2 linked regions of the Oryctolagus cuniculus genome follow. Each later gene encodes a partner of the first gene's protein in a complex. Links are inferred from orthologs where the notes say so. Each region holds a gene or a part of one and is shown on either strand. Other genes may lie near its edges.

Region 1 (6,182 bases):
GATCCTAGGTGTCAGAGAGTTCAGGATTTCATCTGCAATTAATGTCTGTTCAGTTCTTGAATTCTGATGACTGGAGTTCAAGTGACAAGGGATACCTATAGTAAACATACATAAAAAAAAATCCTGAGTATCAGAAACCTTAAAGTTACTCATGCTGCTGATGGTGACTTCTTGTCTAGGTATTATCATATAGAAACAATATTTGGGTTCCAAGGCAAGCTCATGAGGCCAAGGACTTAATTTTGTTCATAGCAGCATCCCCAGTGCCCAGAACAGTGCCTAACGCATAGGAAATGTTATGTTGATATTTGTTTGCATGAATAAATGAATGAGAAGACAATTTTTAAACAATGGAAACCAGCAAAAGTGTCTGGGACACTTTAAAAGCTATTTCCCAGAGCAGGCCTTTAGCCTGGCTATTAAGAAGCCAATTGAGTTGCGTGGTGTCCCACATCAGAGTACCTGGGTTCAAGTACTGGCCTCTGGTTCCTGACTCCAGCTTCCTGCTAATGCAGACCCTGGGAGGCAACAGTGATGGCTCAAATGATTGGATCCCTGAGTTCCTGGCTTTGACTAGCCTCTGTGGGCATTTGGGGAATGTACCGACATGGAGTCCTCTTGCGTGTTTGTTCTCTCTCTCTCTCTCTGCCTCTCAAATAATAAACAGATTTTTTAAAAGAAGATATGTTCCTCATTTGTTACTTATCTTTTGACTTTACGGTGTTTTCTCAATATTTTAGTATGAAATTTCAAACATACAGTAAAGTTGAGAGAATTAGAGTGAATGTCTGTCTACCTATCCACTAGATTCTCCCATTAACATTTTACCATACTTGCTTTATCACATGTTTATTTCTGTTTATAGTCCTTTTTTCTGAAGATTTATTCATTTATTTAAAAGAGTGACAGAGAAAGGGAGGGGAGACAGAGAGAGAGAGATCCTCTGTTCTCTGGTTTACTCCCCAAATGGCCACTACAGCCAAGGCTGGACCAGGCCAAAGCCAGGAGCCTAGAACTCCATCCAGGTCTCCCAAGTGGGTGGCAGGGGCCCAAATACTTGGCCACCATCTTCTGCCTTCCAAGGTGCATTAGCAGAGATCTGGATCAGAAGTAGAACAGTTGGGACTTGAACTGGCACTCTGATATGCAGTGCCAACAAGCAGCATCTTAACCTGCTATGCCACATCACTGGCCACTGTTTATAGTATTTTTTTGATACTGTAGATATTTTTAAAATTTACTAAGGCACATGTACCCGCTTCTTCCCCTTTATGACTTCTGGGTTTTGTCTCACTGAGAATAGGCCTTACCCATTCTTACGGTGATAGATTTTGTTCCTAGGTTTTCTAATATTTTTATGATTTCTATTGGGGAATTAAATTTTTTTTACCCTTCTGAAATTTATTGAGTGAAAGAAGTAAGATAAACAACTTTATTTTCTTGGGAGTCAACACATTTTTTTTCCTGTAAAGGACCAAGTAGTAAATATTTTAGTGAATGATGTCTTTGCAAACATACAAGTATATCTGTGCATCAGATTCCCAGAACTAGGATTGTGAATCAGTGTACAGATTTAATTTTGCCGGCCATTGCCAAAGTCCCCTCTGTAAGGATTGTTCTACTTTTATTTCTACAGCAGTACAAATATGCTTATTTCTCATACCACCTTACCAGTGGAATTTGTTGTCAAACATTTGGACTTTGCAAATCTCTTGGGTTAAAAATGCTGTAACACAAATGAAGAATTCCAGATGATATATGCAGATACTTCCCCACCCAAGAAGTAGAGAAATTTTACGGGAGAGAAACCCAGCAGACAACTACCAAACCGGATCAAAGTGAACCTCACCAGTGATAAGTCATGTTGATACCATGTACTCCCTGCTAGGACACAGTCAGAAGGGTATCACACTTCTCTTGTGTGCTTCTCCAAACAAAAGCCCGTAATCCAAAGTCCAATCATACGAACACATTAGACAAAACCAATTTGAGGGGCATTCTACAGGCATTAGGGGGAAAAAAGCAGACATTTGGTATAGCAATTAAGACACCCACATCCTGCATGGGGGTTCCAGGTTCAGTTTGGGGAATATGGTGGTAAGCCAAGCAGATGTGGTCCCCTCATTTCCTGGAACTCACAGGCTAGAAACTTTTGGTCTCATCAAAGAAATGCTCCTGGCTTTGGCCTGGTCCAGGCTTGGCTGTAAACCAACTTTTTTTTTTTTTTTTTTTTTTTTTTTTTTAAGAAAAAGATCTATTCGTTTGAAAGGCAGAGTGAGCCAGAGAGAGATCTTACATGCACTGGTTCACTCCCAAAATGCTTTCAACAACCAGTTCTGAACCAGGCTGAAGCCAGGAACCTGAAACTCTATCCGGGTCTCCCACATGGGTGGTTGGGGCCCAGGGCCATCCTCCACTGCTTTCCCAGTGCATTATCCGGGAGCTGGATTCAACACTGATACGGGATGCCATTGTTGCAAGCAGTAGCTTAACCCAGTGTGCCACAATACCAGCCCCCTGAACCAACTAGGAGGTAATTATTTTACGATTATTGCAGTAGGAGAGAATTTAACAAAGGTGCTGCTGATGCTACTAGGTGACTGAAACCAAGGAGCAGGATGGCACAGCATACTGTGGGGGCAGGGAGAGAGGTGGGCAGGGACCAACCCTGTCAGCCTTGCAGGACCTTAGTGAGCATGTGGGTGTTTTATGAAGGCTAAGAGGGAGCCCCTGAAGGGAGCGATGTGATTGGGTTTGATTGGCTTTGCCTTAGAGAACACACAGGGACTTGGGGATTTGGAATGTAAAGCCTGAACTAGGGGTGGCCTGGGTGGATGTGAGGAAGCCAGGGGAGGGCTTTTGCACTGTCAGAGGTGGGAGTGAGGGCCTCAGTGACGTGAGTTGCCAGGACAGGGTCGCACCTGCCTCGTGCGCCTTTCAGAACAGGCGGCCCTCTAATGCCTCTCCGTCCTCCCTCCCCAGAGGTGGTCGGGGTGACAGGACTGGGCGCTATGGAGCCACTGACCGCTCACAGGATGATGGTGGGGAGAACCGCAGCCGAGACCACGACTACCGGGACATGGACTACCGCTCGTACCCTCGCGAGTACGGCGGCCAGGAGGGCAAGCACGACTACGACGACTCGTCTGAGGAGCAGAGTGCAGAGGTGAGGGCCGGCCGGGCCTGGGGCAGGGCTGCCACAGGGCCTTGGCATCTGGCTGCAGCACTTTGTGCGGGCAGCTCTCTGCTCCCGTGCCTTCAGACTCTGCTCAGTGGCTTTGCCTCACCCACAGGGTCTCTGCCCACTCCCTTCTCTGAGGACTCCTCTCCCAAGTAGGGTCTCCCTGGCTTCCACATGCTTGGCTCTGTACTTCCGAGGGCCCCTGGCCACTACCTCTTTCCCTTCTTCCTTGTTCAGTTTGGGCCCAGGGGTCATTGCAAGGCCGGTACTGCCTGCTCCCAGCCAGTTGGGGATACTTGAAGAGCTTCTTTGATGAGACCCGGCGTGTGGGGTTGGGAGGACAACTGGGAGATGGGATGTCACGAAACCGAGTAGCTCTGGGAGGCCAGTGGTGGGTACTCCCAGGGTCGACAGGACGCCCACACAGAAAGAAAGGACCCTTGCGGGAGCTAGTACCCTATTGGATAGTTGCCGTTAGCCTGACGGGCGAGGCGTGAGGCTCACCGTCAGGGAGCACCCAACCAGAGGTGAAGAAATGGCCTTGTGTTAGGGAAGCCCGTTTTAGGGGAGTGGTCAGGGTTGTGGCCTAAGCAAGCTGGCAGATCTCCCTGTCCAGCAGGATGGGAAGGATACGCTTGCAAGCCCAGCCCTGGGGGTTGGGTGGGGCAGGGTGTGAGCCCTTGGAGGGGTTCAGCGTAAAGACCCCCATGGTGGGGTCCAGAAGCAGAGCACAGCCAGGCTTCCCCTGTGGCGGCCATTGAGCTGTGCCTGCACGCCTGCAGGGGCCAAGTGGTCCCCGGGCAGACCTCTCGACAAGTGTGGCAATAAAGCACCCAGTTATCTGGCTCTGGCCCACTTGTGGGTAGGAGGGGCATAGCCCCTGGCCTGGCCTGCTTTAGTCCTGCAATGGATGCTTTGGGCAATAGCTAGGAACCTGGTAACCACACCCTGATCTGAAGGAGGCTGGTGGTGATAGGGCTGGCTAGGGGTGAGGAGCAGGAGCCAAGGGAGTGTGTCCATGACCCTCATGCCTTCACCAGCCCCTGCGGGCTGGCTCTAACCCGGATCTGAAGCTGTTCCTACACCCCCAGCTTGGTTGCAGGGCCCAGGCCGGGAATCCTAGGAAACTTGTGGCCTTCAGTGGCACAGGAAACCATTGTGCACATGCCCGCTGAGTTGGCGAGGGAGGGGGGGGAGAAATCCAGGGTAGCGTCTGGTTGCCAACCCCAGCTGATCCACCCGAAGGAGGTTCAAGTTGTGTCTTAGCACCTTCCTTGGGGACTTCCTCCCCTTATGCCAATACTGTCATTCCTGTAGGCAGCTCCCCAAAAGTATCCCATGGAGAATTTCTAGCCCCAGAAGCATCGCAGGGCAGGGCCCTCCCACTCTGCCTGCCTGAGCCTTTAGCCGGAGCCCGCGCACCCCTGGCTTTCAGAGCCTGCCTGCCTCAGAGAGCCCGTGGCCAGCCCCTAGGCCCGCCCAGACTGACTGCCCGTCTGGTGTCTCTCGTCTCATTCTGTCGGCCAGGATTCCTACGAGGCCTCCCCGGGCTCCGAGACTCAGCGTAGGCGGCGGCGGCGGCACAGGCACAGCCCCACCGGCCCGCCAGGCTTCCCCCGAGACGGCGACTATCGGGACCAGGACTATCGGACCGAGCAAGGGGAGGAGGAGGAGGAGGAGGAGGATGAGGAGGAGGAGGAGAAGGCCAGTAACATCGTCATGCTGAGGATGCTGCCACAGGCAGCCACTGAGGATGACGTACGTGCCCCCCGTGGCCCCGGGCAGGCGGCAAAGCAGGAGGCCATGCTGGGTCTCCTCCAGGGCCCTTAATTTCTCCCCACCCCTCCCTCACCCCCAACCTCAGCACCTTTCATTCCTTCTCCCCCACCGGCTCCTGTCCCCAGCACTGATGCATCCCATGTGGGCAGGCCCCGTCAGCTCCTTGTCTTGAAGGAACAAGTGTCGTGTCAGCTAGGCCGGCTTGGCCCAGGGGCAGCGGCCGTGGGTTGTTCTGTTGATGATGCCTGTTGGGAGGACAAGGGCATTGTCCCTGCGCATTCCATTGACTTCCATCCATTCTGCATGTGTGGATCAAGGGCCAGATGCTCACCAGGCCCTGTGCTGGGTGTCGCTGGGTACAGAGATGATGCCTGGGCCCTGCAACCGTGGGAGTGGTGAGGGGGCATGAGATTTCCTGAAATTTCATTCTCATTTCTCTTGCTCTCCCTTTTTGTCAGCAGCATCAACACTCATCACTGGCCTGGCCACAGAGCCTTGGGCAGCTGCTCAAGGCCTCCACATCTGCTTTCCTGTGTGGCCTTCTCTCCCTTCCGTTTTTCTCCTGTTTCCTTCTCCTACAAACTTCTCAGAATGGGCTGCATTAAAACCCTGAGAAGGCTACTAGATTCACCTGCTGACCAGCCTCCTTAATTCTGGTCCTTCTTACAGTCCATTCCACCCTCCCATGAATTCTCCCATCGGCTTTCCTCTGAAATCTGCTGGCTGCCTGTTTTGTAGTGGAGAAAATCCCAGCTGTGTATGTGAGGGCCTCTGAACTGTGGCCCACCTGCTGTGCTAGGGTCAGATGCTGGCTGATTGCTGATATTTGTTGAGGATTGGTGGCAGAGCAGGCCACATGCCAGGTCTGACTTAATCTTCATAGCAGCCCTGCAGGGCAGGTGCTCTTTGTAGTATGAATGAGGAAACCAAGGCCCAAGCAGTGAGGTGACTTGCCCCAGGTCCCCATAGCCAGAGGAGTGGCCAAAAGGAGTTGGGGTCTGAGTCTGGGTAGCTGGGCCCCAGGGCCATGTTCTTGCTGCTTCCCGAACCCTCCAAGTGTTTGGAGTGCTGCTAAGCTCTTCTGTGTGTCTTTCCTTCTCATGTGTGTAGGGGGGTGCCGGGTGCTACCCTCCTGTCTTGTTCAACCTGATAGGATACTGAGGCCCAGGGGCGTGAAGCCTCCTTCCTGAGAATGCCCCGCATAGGCGCCCCGTCCTCTCCA
Region 2 (6,182 bases), on another chromosome or scaffold:
ATTACCTGACTTGTAAGTCTGACTCTAGGGTCAGCTTCCCTGAGTTGTGACTACATTTTTGTTTTTCACAGTTTTCAAAATTCCAAAAAATTAAAATTAAAGAGTTATTGACCTGTCATGGGAGGCAGAGTAGTATGTATTAGGGATTTTGTAGAGGTTTTGTATAGTTAGCCCTTTCTAAAATTCTGTGTGTTCCTTTGTATACTTCAGAATAACATGGGCGCTTTATCTAGCTCTCTGTTCTCAGTATTTTCTCACTATAGCTTCAGTTTAGGTGGTGCACAGCCTCTGACATTAGAGAGGTATAGAGAGGTGTTGGTGGTATGTCTGCTTCTTTTATGATTTGATCTCACAAGTCAGTTCACCTGTATAGAGTGATATAGATATAAATGTGGATATATAGTCTGTGATACATGCATAGCATATAAAGCTAATTGCTATGGGGCACATAATGGATATGGGTAGGATATTACTTTGAAATTAGTGCAGAGGACGTTTAGTTGATCCTGTAATTGGAAAAACATAACCTGCCTCCCTTTAGTAGCTTAGATCTTTTAAGATGTTACCTTTAATTTAAAACATCATAATATGCAATATAAATTCATAGTTAGGTAGTAGAGTGATGGATCTTTATTTGAATAGCTATATAATAAAACGAATTTCTAAATTTCTTCAGTTGATTTTCAGAAGTTTAAGTTTGCAAAAGAAGAATGTGGACTTTGATTTTAAGAACATTGTAGGAGTCCTCATTTGTACTTCAGAAAATAAAGATGGATTATTATTTCAGTTGATTGTTTTTAAATGTGGCAATTGCTTATATTAGTTAATCAAAGGTAATTTTCTTCCATTTTGATAACATAGACTAAATTTGGCCGAAGGTGGACCAAAATTGCAAAGTTAATTGGAAGCCGCACTGTTTTACAAGTGAAGAGTTATGCCAGACAATACTTTAAAAATAAGGTAAGCAGAATATAAATATCCTTGTTATTAATGATACATTTAGAATGAGCAAATTAATAAGCAGAAATGTTTCTTTAATTTAGGCATTAAAGTTTTATTGTTTAAAGTTTTTATACGGAAAGGGTTTGATATCCGTAAACTACTATATGAATATTTATTTAAACTTTAGAGCATGTCTTTATTAATAGTGTTATTAATGTCATACAGCAAAATAGAATTAGAACTTTGGGAACATTAATGCTAACATGATTTTTGAAGTCTGTTAAGTAACAATGAAATTCTTATAGTGTTGAAAAATTGAAAATTTTAATAAATTACAGGATTCACAAAAGTGCAGTTTTTTCTAGTTTCTTATTTTTTCAGTATCAACCATGCGGTTGATGACAAGAGCCTTGGGTGATTACTGACATCATAAATAAGAGTGTCAATTGTTAAATCAACAACGGGAGTCACTGTGCACCTACTCCCCATGTAGGATCTCTGTCCTTAATGTGCTGTACTATGTGAATTAATGGTAAAACTACTACTCAAACAGTACTCTATACTTGGTGTGTCTGTGTGGGTGCAGTCTGTTGAAATCTTTACTTAGTATATACTAAGTTGATCTTATGTATAAAGGTAATTGAAAATGAATTTTGATGAAGAATGGGATGGGACAGGAAGTGGATGGTTGCAGGTGGAAGGGAGGTTGGAGGGAAAAGCTGCTATAATTCAGAAGTTGTACTTTGGAAATTTATATTTATTAAATAGAAGTTGAAAAAAAAAGACTTACGAGAGGTCTTCCATCCACTGTCAAACTCCCCAGCTGGCCGCAACCGCCAGGGCTAGGCCAGGCTGAAGATAGGAGCTAGGAGCTTCTTTCAGGTTTCCAACCTGGATGGCAGCGACCCAAACACTTGAGTCATCTTCTGCTGCTTTTCACAGGCCAGTAGCAGGGAGCTGGATTGAAAGTAAAGCAGCTGGGACACAAACTCGCGCCCAAATGGGAGTCCAGCGTTGCAGGAGGTAGCTTTACCCCATGTATCGTACCACCAGCCCCAACTATGTGATTTTGATAGTTGGAATTTTTAAATATATTCTGCTCTAAGAACATAATTATATAAAATTTGAAAATATTATAAGTGAAATTTGATGTTTTCTTTCAGTGTGGCTAGTAGACTGTACCCTGTATACAAGATTTCTCTTAGTGTTAACTGGCATGGGCAGAAAGTGATAGAATATATTCGTTGTACATAAATCATCCACTTCCTCTTAAACAAAAGTACTGTTGGGGCAGCTTGCTAAGGTTGAGGTATTAAGAAGAATAAAGCTTAATGTGGTGGTTATTCTACCTGCAAGCTTTTCAAACTGCAATATTTAGTTTATCTTGGAGTGTCAGTTTTACTGAAAGACTGTGGTAGAAAGATACATTTCAATATTAGAATGATTAGTATGTTATAAAATCTAATCCAAAATATCTGAATTTTTAAGATTAAAAACGGGACCAAATAAATAGCAAGGTTGCTAGAGAATATTTCAGCTTGTATGTCCAAATCTTGTTTTCCTTCCTGCTATTCTTTTTTTTTTTCTACGTAGTAAGCCAATTAACACCAAATATTTAATCCTAGAATGCTGACGTGATATTAGGTCTAGAAATAGTCTTTCTGAAAGTTGTTATATCCCTTGGGTATAGCAATCATTTACAAAATTTTTCAAAAACTTTCTATGTAAGGATTTTTTATTTCAAGTCATATTTAATCATTGCCTTTTTTTTTTTTTTAAGATTTTTTTACTTATTAAGAGTTATAGAGAGAGAGTGAGAGAGATCTTCCATCTGCTGGTTCACTCCCCAGATGGCTGCAACTGCCAGAGCTGGGCCAGGCCAAAGCCAGGAGCCAGGATCTACATCCAGGTCTCTCACATGGGTAGCAGGGGCCCAAACACTTGGGTCATCTGCTGCTGCTTTTCCTAGACCATTCACAAATTGCTGGATCGGAAGTAGAGCAGCCGGCACTCGAACCTGCGTGCTGTGGGATATGCTGTGTTGCAGATGGCAGCTTTACCTGCTACACCACAGTGCCAGTACCTACTCATTGACTTTTATTATCATTCTTGTGTTGTATTATCAGATAGCTATGTCTGTATAGCTGATATGGAAAGTAATTGCATGACTTAAAATGTAAGTGCTATAATATTGGAGCTGCATTAAATGAACGTACAAAAAACTGTTTTTTTGTTACTGTATCTAAATGAAAGATAGGCCGGCACCTTGGCTCAATAGGCTAACCTCCACCTGTGGTGTCAGCACACTGGGTTCCAGTTCCGGTTGGGGCACCAGATTCTGTCCCGGTTGTCCCTCTTCCAGTCCAGCTCTCTGCTGTGGCCCGGGAGTGCAGTGGAGGATGGCCCAAGTCCTTGGGCACTGCACCGGCATGGGAGAACAACAGGAGAAGCACCTGGCTCCTGGCTTCGGATCAGCGCAGTGCGCCGGCCGCAGCGGCCATTGTGGGGTGAACCAATGGAAAAGGAAGACCTTTCTCTCTCTCTCTCTCTCTCTCTCTCTCTCTCACTGTCCACCCTGCCTGTCAAAAAAAAAATAAATAAAATAAATGACAGATGGTTTTAATTTACTAAGTAGGATAAGTGAGATAAATGTGATAGATTCTTTTAAGAAAAAGCTTTAAAGAAACAGTCAGCTGAGATATTAGACATTTAAGAAAAGAGCTTTTATAAATATTTTAATATCTTGTAGAACTTCTTAGTATGACAGTTACAGGTTGATTGTGATTGGTCTAAGCCAGACACGTATTTTAAACTTAATATTGACAAATAAATGGTAGTTCTATATAGACCATGGTTATTTGATTAATAGAAATCACCACATTATGAATTAATCATATATCTAAGGAAATTTAAAATGTGATCTTTTACATTAAAACTACAGTTATAAATCCAAGAGAAGCAGAATAAAAGTATAATGTATCATTAACATGCACTCACTTGAATTATATTATTGTATATTATTGTATTTATTGTGTCAGTGATTAAATTTTAAAATCTTAATATTATGGAGGTTTTATTCTGATTTTTTTTAATAAGGTAAAATGGGGTCCGGAGAAAGAAACACCAAATCAGAAAAGTAGCAGTGATCTTCAAGTTAAAAGTGAAGACAAAGGGACAGAGGCATGGATACCATCATGTTTAAGGGGACATGCTGATCCCAACTTGAATGCTGTAAAAATTGAAAAATTGTCTGATGATGAAGAAGTAGACATCACAGACGAGGTGGATGAATTCACTTCTGAAGCACCCCAGAAGAATTCTAACAGTGGTCTCTTATTAGACATTATTCCTAGTAGTAGTAGTATGCATGAAACCAATCAAGGAGAATGCATTGCATCTGATAGCCAGGAAGACCCCTTTTTTAAATCTTCCGGGGAATATCTTAAGAATCTAAAGCAAGATGAAATGGAAACACTTTCAGGCTCACAGATTACATTACAGACTGACAAACCGAGCAACAATGACAAAAAATCAGTTGAATTAAAAGATGAGAAATGTAATAAACCAATTCAGAACTATAACGGGCATGATGGAAATGGACTGATAGATGATGCGAGTCAGTGGCCTTCTCTTGAGACTTGTGAAAATAAAGATTTGAGTGACAATGAAATGCTTTTTCATTCTTCTTGTCATGTTGTGGAAGAAAGCCACGAGGAAGAAGAGCTTAAGCCACCAGAACAAGAAGTAGAAATAGATAGAAATACCATTCAAGAAGAAGAAAAACAAGCAATTCCTGAGTTTTTTGAGGGGCGTCAAGCTAAAACACCAGAACGCTATTTGAAAATTAGAAATTACATTTTGGATCAGTGGTAAGAAAAAATTACATTTTAGATGCCTTTTTAAAAACCTGATACTCTTTAAGTGTTTTAGTTAGGCCTATGCAGAATTTAGAATTTTGGTGGCAATAAGAGTGTTTTCACATAACAGCATTTCAGTAGGAAAAATTTAACTTTCTCACAGTGAAACTTTTTTGAAAGCTTTGGTCATGTATAGCTGTCACAATACCATCTGTCTGTTCATCTGAGTGTTTGTGCTTGGAAAGAAAAGGGATGAATAACTGCTTCAAGAAGCAATTCCTTGGGACAGAAATAATGCAGATGTAGAACACTACTGTACTGGGAATAGGAGAGAATTTTTCTTTTTGGGATTTATCATGTACTTTAAGTGCAAAGAAGGAAAGATTTGGTGACAGAGGATGGTATCATTAAATGTGGCCTCTTTGCAGAAACTCCACCTGAACAGCTGTCTTAAATGCCTTCAGCTTTAAACTTGTGGTGGAATATGCTAATAATTTCTTCATCCAGCTTCATCAAGGTCCAGGAATTTTCTAATATGTGAAATTTACCCTCTAAATTGTTAATACATTTTACTTGAACTATTTAGTGGGCCTAGGGAGCAAACCAAAAAACTTCTTACCTCGTTAACCTGATAAAAGTAATTTGAAGTAATCTTGACATCTTAATTAAGCCATCATTAAACACTCATAATTGCTACTACTAGTTCATGAACTGTTGAATCATATAGGGCCATTTTTAGAGAGGGCTTCCCAGTTCCTTGAGTAGGGATTCTGCTTTGTCCCTTGTTTTTCTCTTTTGTTCTGTCTTCCTCTCCTTTGCAGTAACTTTCTGCTATAGCTTTGGAAGGTTACATAAAGGAAACTTAATAATGTGCCAAATCAATAGCCTTCATTTTGCCCACATAATATTAAGTCATTAGGTTTTTAAAGGTAGCAGTATTCTAAAAGGAGGATTTTTGTTCTTGTTCTTGATACATGGTTATCTTGCAGATGCTTGACATGCCAAAACAACTTCTGGGTAAGGAGGCAGCATAGTAAAGAATGCTGACAAGGAACAACTGTCATTTACATGGTACTTAGCTGCTTAAAGAAAGACTTGCTCTCTGTTCTTATTTGCTGTATAGGCCTCACAGCAGTCCTCTGACATAGTGAAAGGGACTTAACCAGCCACTGACTCCTGAAAGACTTCATTTCAAGTCTTGACTATAATCAAGTAAGGCAGAATAATTTGCATAGATACTGCAAATTATATGGCAGTAGTTTCCTAAACTATTTGTTTTAGTTGATGAAACCAATAGATACTGCTATTTAAACATGATGATTTAGGAAAATGGTGTGAAGGCTGAAAATAAATGTTTTTTTGTTTGTTTGTTTTGTTTTGTTT

Evidence for each region. Proteins that work in one complex are often made in the same cells at the same time.
Region 2: RBM10 (region 1) and MYSM1 share a complex: the UniProt entries of both Homo sapiens proteins name them as parts of the large chromatin remodeling complex. The link is inferred for Oryctolagus cuniculus from reciprocal best matches to the Homo sapiens genes RBM10 and MYSM1.

The regions. Positions count from the first base shown.
Region 1 is NC_091453.1:32,700,854-32,707,035, forward strand, and holds part of RBM10 (RNA-binding protein 10), read left to right. Parts: intron 1-2,982; coding exon 2,983-3,166; intron 3,167-4,708; coding exon 4,709-4,939; intron 4,940-6,182. UniProt on the Homo sapiens protein: Binds to ssRNA containing the consensus sequence 5'-AGGUAA-3'. May be involved in post-transcriptional processing, most probably in mRNA splicing. Binds to RNA homopolymers, with a preference for poly(G) and poly(U) and little for poly(A).
Region 2 is NC_091438.1:114,363,630-114,369,811, forward strand, and holds part of MYSM1 (deubiquitinase MYSM1), read left to right. Parts: intron 1-861; coding exon 862-960; intron 961-4,038; coding exon 4,039-4,811; intron 4,812-6,182. UniProt on the Homo sapiens protein: Metalloprotease with deubiquitinase activity that plays important regulator roles in hematopoietic stem cell function, blood cell production and immune response.